Macaca fascicularis: one gene and its partner. Each later gene encodes a partner of the first gene's protein in a complex. Links are inferred from orthologs where the notes say so. Each region holds a gene or a part of one and is shown on either strand. Other genes may lie near its edges.

Region 1 (4,274 bases):
CCTCGTTGATCACTCGTTCTTCCACTGCGTCGTCGAACGCTGCTAAAAATTTTTAAAACAAATTAAGTTAGCAAACAAACGGAAACTGGGTAATCCTCTGCAAAGCTACCAGCATGACTCCTACAACCTCACTCTGAAATGGAGGTGATTTGTCTAAATCCCCACGGCAGAGGTACCCACACTCCTCTCCACCTTCGCGGCGCCAGAACTCCTCGGGGCATCCCCGCCAAACACTCCGTTACCCGTTCCACGCCACCGGGCCAGGCCTTCGGAGCACGCTCGCGCGCGCTGAAACTCACAAGCCCGACTAGAAGGCCCGAGCTCCGAGCCTTGTGGGTAGAAAGCGGTGTCCCGAGGCTCGGGACAGAGGCCGAGAGACCGATATCGAGGGCAGGAGGAGGAACAAACAACCGCCGGGAGCCCCACCGCCAGCTTCGCCAGCGGCGACGGACGTCGGTCCCAGGGAACCCGCGAGCCGTTAGCCCGCCCCGCGGGGAGTTCCCTCTTCACGCCTTCGGTACCGGGAACTGCACTCGGCAAACTCGGGCCTGCCCTCACTGTTAGGCCGTGTCGAGGCCGCGGCTCAGCCCCGGCACCCGCTGCCCTCCTGGGGCGGCCCCGGAACCCTCACCTTCCTTGTCGGCCATGGCGGGCAGACGAGCCGGGGGAACCCTAGGGTCGAGCGTTCCGGGAGGGGCGGGGAGGCAGCAGGCGCTCGCTCTGCGCGCGCGGCCTCTATTGTTTCCTGCGCCCCCAGCGCGAGGGCCGACTCGCGCACCTTCGCGCCAACATCAGCCAATCGGAGCGCTCCTAACGGCGGGAAGGGCGGGGAAGCCGCGCTTGCGACCTATCCAGACGCGCGGAGTAGCTTTCCGCGGGGACCGAGGCGCGCGCTCCGCCCCTCCCCCAACACCTCCCGCCGCCGACTTCTAGCGACTGCGCGCGACAGCGTTGACGGGACTGCGCCCGGCCAGGGTCACGTGAGAGAGGTTTAGTCCACACACTCCCGCGGCCCGAGGGCAGCCATTTTCTTGAAGGCTGTTAAGCTTACAACCCTTTCAGAGTACTGAGATGAAAAATATAGAATGACTTCGGGTCTAATTATAAATTTTGGGGGTGAGGCGGGGAAAAGAACCTCGCCACTCAGAGCCAGAGGGGTTTCATTCAAGGTGCCCTTCAACGTTTTCCCTTAGTCTTGAGAAGGAACTAGTAATGAAGGGAGGGCAGAAGATGGGGTTTTGGCCTTTTAAACATGTGATCCAAGCAACAGGGTCGGGACTAAAGCAGGTTAGCGGCCAACTCCGAGAACGGACTGTGGTTCTTTAGGGGTGTGTGCTCAGGGGCGGGGTCTAGAGCGGAAGTAGTAACTGCGGGCCGAAGTCCGGCGGATGAAGGGCGGAAGTAGAGTGTCTAATCCTGCAGTGATGGCGCAGGAGGAGGAAGATGTTAGAGATTACAATTTGACTGAGGAACAGAAGGCGATCAAGGCCAAGTATCCGCCAGTCAATAGGAAGTACGAGTGTGAGTAGGTGGCTTACTTCTCTCTTTAGATGTGAGCACACAGGCATCCTCTCTCCTTACCCGCAGCTTCCTGCTACTCTTTCTCCTTTGCCCCATAGGTACTTCAAGCGTGATCCCATTTGTGCCGGGTGTTATAGTCTCATTCGTACTTGTCCTGGGGATGCTGAAGGAAAAAGCCACCTGGTTTAATAGTCGCGAAACCTGGCCTCTCTCATTTACAGTCTCTTGAACTTCTTTCACATGTGCCTAATCACATTTATCTTCGTAAATTCTAAAGATAACCATATTTTCAGGCGTTTGCAGGGTTGTTACTCCCATGTATTTCCCAACGGTGAGATAAGAGTGTGCCAGGTTAGAGGACTCGGAAAGCTAATTAGGGGATTTCTAACTTGATGTTTCACCTCGATCATATTAGCAAAAAGACCTGGTTTTGCCATTTATGATTGTGATTTTTAAAAATGATTATTTTACGTCGGGCGCGGTGGCTCACGCCTGTAATCCCAGCACTTTGGGAGGCCGAGGCGGGCGGATCACCTGAGTTTGGAAGTTCAAGATCAGCCTGACGAACATGGAAAAAACCCGTCTCTACTAAAAATAAAAAATTAGCTGGGCGTGGTGGCGCATGCCTGTAATCCCAGCTACTCGGGAGACTGAGGCAGGAGAATCGCTTGAACCTGGGAGGCGGAGGTTGCGGTGAGCCGAGATCGTCCCATTGCACTACAGCCTGGGCAACGAGCGAAACTGTCTCAAAAAAAAAATACATATATATATATATGTTTTTAGAGATGGGGTCTCGCTCTGTCGTCCAGGCTGGAGTGCAATGAAGAGATCATAGCCCGCGCTGCAGCGCCCATCTGGTTTTGCCATTTATTCGCTTAGTGACTTTAGGCAAATCACATAACCTATCTTCGTCTCTTAAATTCTATATTAAACGTTAAGCTGTCATCCCTAAAGGTAGCTGTGGTTTGGGGAGCACAAATCTGACTTTTATTTATCTGCTTAAAAACTTTCATTAATTTCTCATTGTCCTCTCTGTAAAATCTACTTATTTACCATAGTATTCTAGGCTCTGTGCTTTCTGGACCTGGCATACCTCCTAGCATATCCCCTTCTCTCACTTAAAAACAATTTTAAAATATAGGCCGGGCGCAGTGGCTCACACCTATAATCCCAGCACTTTGGGAAACCGACATGAGTGGATCCCCTGAGGTCAGAGTTCCAGACCAGTCTGGCCAACGTGGTGAAACCCCGTCTCTACTAAAAATGCAAAAATTAGCTGGGCATGATGGTGGGCGCCTGTAATCCCAGCTACTCGGGAGGCTGAGGCAGAAGAATTGCTTGAACCCAGGAGGTGGAGGTTGCAATGAGCTGAGATCACAGCACTGCACTCCGGCCTGGGCAACAGAGGGATACTGTCCCCGCCCCCCCCCCAAAAAAAAAGATTGGATGCTGTGGCTCACGCCTGTAATCCCAGCACTTTGGGAGGTTGAGGCGGGTGGATCACCTGAGGTCAGGAGTTTGAGACCAGCCTGGCCTGGCCAACATGGTGAAACCGCATCTGTACTAAAAATGCAAAAATTAGATGGGCATGTTGGTGGGCGCCTGTAATCCCAGCTACTTGGGAGGCTGAGGCAGGAGAATTGCTTGAACCCGGGAGGCGGAGGTTGCCATGAGCTGAGGTTGCGCCATTGCACTCCAGCCTGGGTGACAGATCTGGGCCACAGAGCCTGACTCTGTCTCAAAAAAAACAATTATTTTTAATAAGTCATATATATTGATTCGAAATTCAGAAAGTGTGACGTAACGCAGTGAAAAGTAACTCTGGCAGCCCCCATCCCCAACCACCTAGTTCCCCTCTATAGGGCAGTCATCGTTACCTTTTTCTTACATGTACATACCTAGATGTTCTAGCATTTACTTTAACCAGTTTTCAGTTGATGGATGTTTAGGCTATTTTTACTCTTGTGGTATTAGAAACAGTGCAGCAGTGAATACACTTGTACATCCATTGTTTTGTACATGTGCAAGTGAATCTGTAGAATCAAGTTCTCCAAGTTAAATTGCTTTGCCAAAGGATATGTGCGTTTTTTTTTGTTTCCGTTGCTAAGACTCATACGTTTTTTAAAAGGATATTTTAACTTAGACAGTTATTGCCAAATTGCTCTCTATAGAAGTTGTACCAATTTATACTTTCACTAGTATTGTGTGAATGTGCCTCTTTCCTCCCACTTTTACCGTTACCATACTTTTTGGCCTTTTCCAATTTGTAAAGTATACTTACTGTATTTTTCTTATTGTAAGTGAAGTTGAACATATTATAGTGTTTTGGAAGCTATTTGTATTTCCCATACTGGGGTGTGTATGTTAATATTCTTAGCCCTTTTTTCTCTTGGGTTATTTTTTTTTCTCTTGGGTTACTAGTTTTTCTTACTAGGCAGATAGTATTGTTATGCAGTGCAGCTCATTAACCTGTGGTCCCCAACTTTTTTGGCACCAGGGACTGGTTTCACGGAAGTCAGTTTTTCCACCAATGGGCGTTGTAGGGGAGTATGGTTTCAGGATGATTCAAGTGCATTACATTATTGTGCATTTTATTTCAGTTTTATTACATTGTAATATATAATGAAATAATTATACAGCCCACTGTAATACAGAATCAGTGGGAGCCCTGAGCTTGTTTTCTTGCAACTAGGTGGTCCCATATGGGGGTGACAGATCATCAGGCTTTAGATTCTCATAGGGAGCACACAACC
Region 2 (3,820 bases), on another chromosome or scaffold:
CCTGGGGAGTAGAAATGCAGAATCCCAGACTTCATTCCGGCTCTACTGAATTAGAATCTTTATTTTAATAAGACCCTCAGGAGATTCCTATGCACATAAAAGTTTAAGAAGCACTGTTCTAGCCAGAAAAGTGCTTTCATATTCTTACTCAGTTATCTAGCAGAATATTTTGAGACACTTCTGTTGCATAAGACATTTCTGGATGGTGACAGAACAATAGGGGCTAAGAGTGCGGGGCTGTACAGAGAGGTTGTGTGGCTCGGTTCTGGGACGATTGTTCGCTATGATCATGGCCATCCCGTACGAATTATTTACCTGTATCGTCCTGAGCTTCCTCATCTGTAAAATGAAGCTAATAATCGTATCTACCTTATAGGGTATTGTGGCAATTAAATGAATTTATATAAATCATTTAGTGCTGACCCAACATACAGTTAGCACTTTATAAATGTTAGCCACTATTGTGATTTTGATTGTTAATTAGATGTTCAGGTATGTTAAATGCATTTATTTTTTCCTCTTTTTATTTTTACTTCACCTGATGAGCTAAGGCGTTAAAAGATTAGATCTTTTTTCCAAATTCAGAATTTTTTGTGATTTGACCAGTTTTTGTTGGTTTTTATTATTGACATTTCAGTTAAAAAAAAAAACTTACACCAATATGAATTAGTTAAATTCTTTCAAGAGTTTATGAGTATTGCTTTATTGCAGAAATGAAAGCAAGTAAGAGGATCTAAGATGTTTACTATGAAATCTCATTGAGAGGCATTGTAAGACATGGAGGAAGGCTGAGTCATAGAAGAACCAGCCTTGAGCTGGGGGTGCAGAAATAATGTTCTAGTCTCAGCTCTGCCTTTACTTGGCTGTATCAGCTGGACCAGGTTTTTTCCTTAGTTTCCTTATAGTTGTAGATAGAGGTCTAACAAGACCTATGTTAACGATGGAGCATTTGGGTTAAACGTGGATTTAAATGCTAGTGCCATCTTCTGATTCTACACAATTAGGATAATGCTAACTTAAAGCATTGCTGTAAAGATTAAATGAAACATATATATGTATGCATGCCTAGCACTGTGCCTGGCCTGCTACATAAAGGCAGGTTTCCTAATGTCATGAAGTCTTAGTTTCTTTACCTACAAAATGAGGATTTGAAAATACCTGTACTCACCCTTCATCTGATATAACCAGAGAATTCAAAGAAAAAGAAATGCAAGTGGCCTTTAAACATATGCAAAGATGCCCTATGTCTTGCTCATAAGAGAAATGTAGATAAAACTATACTGTTACCAGATGGTCAAAACCCCAAAAGTTTGACAACTTTGGTGAATGATGAGGGAATGGGTACTCTGATGCCTTGATGGTACAACCCCTCTACAGGAGAATTTCATAGTATCTAGCAAAGTTATGTATCTGTTTACCCTTTGACCCAACAGCCTCACCTCTAGGAATCTATCCTAGATATAAACTGACAAAAATTTGCTGAACTATATTAATAAAACACTGGAAACAGTCCAAGTGTCCTTTAGTAGATGCTGATTAAATAAAATATGGTGCATCCAGACAGTGGGGTAGTATATAACTGTAAAAAAGGGTTGAATAATATCTCTAAATACTGATCTCTACTAATGTAAATGTATGTGTGTGTGAGCATGTATGTGTTTAAAGCAAGGACTAGAACAGTATATAGTAGGCTACCTTTTATCTGAAAGAGGAGACAAAAATGCATATATTTATGTTGAAAAACATGATGGAAGGACAATCCCAAACTAATAAATATGGTCACCTGGAGGGGAGGGAGGGAACAGAGTAGAGGATACAAGATTAAAATTGCAAACTAGATTTTTCTGAAGTACTTTGTTTTTTAAGTTAGGCTTTGAAACCGCATTAATGTTTTACATAATTATAAGACAAAAATGCAATAAAAAGAAACAAATCCCTATAAATTAAAAGCTGAACAAAACAGATGTCTATTGATGTATCAAGTAGGTGGTTTAATCACATGGGAATGGTTTTTCTCTATATCCTTACAGGAATACATTGTAAATATAAAAAAATTAAACTGTAATTTTATTGTTGGTAGTAAGCTAGATTTCCTATTCTGAAGCCATATGTAATTTATACCTATTTTAATATATATTAGGAATTTGTAAATGTTAATTAAAACAAGATTTGTTATTGTAAGAGAAGATAAAAATGTAAAACAAAATAAGTAAAACCCCTACAATTCTAAATGCCAGTTGGAAATAGCAATATGAACTCCTAATATAGTTTCTCTGAAAAAGGCATAGAAACAGTGCCCAACCTTTGGTACCAGATTATGTACTCTAAATACCATTAAAAGAATCGGGGCTCCTTGGAGAAATGCCTGATTCCAAGTCTAAGGCAGGAAGATGATGTTGTAGAAAGCAAGGAAAGTATTCAGAGAGTACGGGGGACAAGACAAAGGGCTCCATTGGCCTATGTAAATGGGCTACTACAAATCAGACATAGAAGAATTTGAATATCAAAAGAATAATAACTGTAATGGATGAAAACACATCAAATATATTATCTATGAGGTTATAATGTTAACAAAAGTTCAGTTACAAAAAGAACCATAAAAGTAGAAAACTGATCATCTAATTTAGTTAAGATAGTATATAAAGTGTTTTGAAAATTTAAGATTCTTGTGAAATACAACTTGCAGAAATGTTTAAAAGTGTAAAATTATAAATAAATGAGGCCAGTCACGGTGGTTCACACCTGTAATCCCAGCACTTTGGGAGGCTGAGGTGGGTGGATTGCTTGAGCTCAGGAGAGCCTGGCCAACATGGCTAAACCTCCTTTCTACTAAAAATACAAACATTAGCTGTGTGTGGTGGCGGGTGCCCATAATCCTAGCTACTCTGGTGGCTGAGGCATGAGAATCCCTTGAACCCAGAAGGCAGAGATTGCAGTGAGCTCAGATTGTGCCACTACACTCCTGCCAGGGTGACAGAGTGAGACCCTGTCTCAAAAATAAACAAATAAGTAAATAAATAAAATAATATAAAATAAAAGGTTTAGATTAAAATGATCTAATAGGTTCTTTTCAACTTTAGCTTTTTTAAATTTGTAATTTGTATCTGTGCTTTTTTCCACCACACTTTTATTGTAATTAATGTAAGGTTATTAGACTTTATGCTGTATTTGACTTTGTGATATCTGTGGAATTTATCTTAAAATTGGTAGATAATTTTACTGTGGAATGTTAAAATGTAGGAAAAAAGCTAAATGTTAATTATATAGAGCAGGAATCAGCAAACCATTTCTTTAAAAGGCCATGTAGTGGTCATTTTCAGTTACAACTACTTAGCTCTTCCATTGTAGTGTGGAAACAGCCATAGCTAATTTGTGGATTAATACATTTAATGGCTGTGTTCCAATAACATTTTATTTACTAAAACAAGCAGCAGACCTTGACACAGAGTATTGAAAGCTTTTTTGTTTGATTGGCTTATTTAGTTTTTAACTGGTATTTCTTCCTTTCTAGGTATAAAGGACCATTGTTAGAAGAGCAAGCCCTTACGAAGGCAGCAGAGGGTGGATTATCTTCACCTGAATTTTCAGAGCTCTGTATTTGGTTAGGCTCTCAAATAAAATCATTATGCAACTTGGAAGAAAGTATCACGTCTGCTGGTATTGCCATTATGTTTTATGTACTTTTCTGTTTAATAGTAAAATAAACTGATAACTTATGGCTTATAGTTTTATCAATAATGTGCCCATTGTACAAAGAAAAATCACGTATTCCAAAGAATTTCAGTATGTGGTAGTAAACATGTTTGGATTAAATTTTATA

The links.
Region 2: ZBTB8OS (region 1) and FAM98B share a complex: the UniProt entries of both Homo sapiens proteins name them as parts of the tRNA-splicing ligase complex. The link is inferred for Macaca fascicularis from reciprocal best matches to the Homo sapiens genes ZBTB8OS and FAM98B.

Annotation. Positions count from the first base shown.
Region 1 is NC_088375.1:202,362,405-202,366,678, forward strand, and holds the start of ZBTB8OS (protein archease), read left to right. Parts: upstream 1-1,376; 5' UTR 1,377-1,388; coding exon 1,389-1,521; exon of another isoform or gene 1,522-1,525; intron 1,526-4,274. UniProt on the Homo sapiens protein: Component of the tRNA-splicing ligase complex required to facilitate the enzymatic turnover of catalytic subunit RTCB. Together with DDX1, acts by facilitating the guanylylation of RTCB, a key intermediate step in tRNA ligation.
Region 2 is NC_088381.1:14,971,347-14,975,166, forward strand, and holds part of FAM98B (protein FAM98B), read left to right. Parts: intron 1-3,511; coding exon 3,512-3,657; intron 3,658-3,820. UniProt on the Homo sapiens protein: Positively stimulates PRMT1-induced protein arginine dimethylated arginine methylation.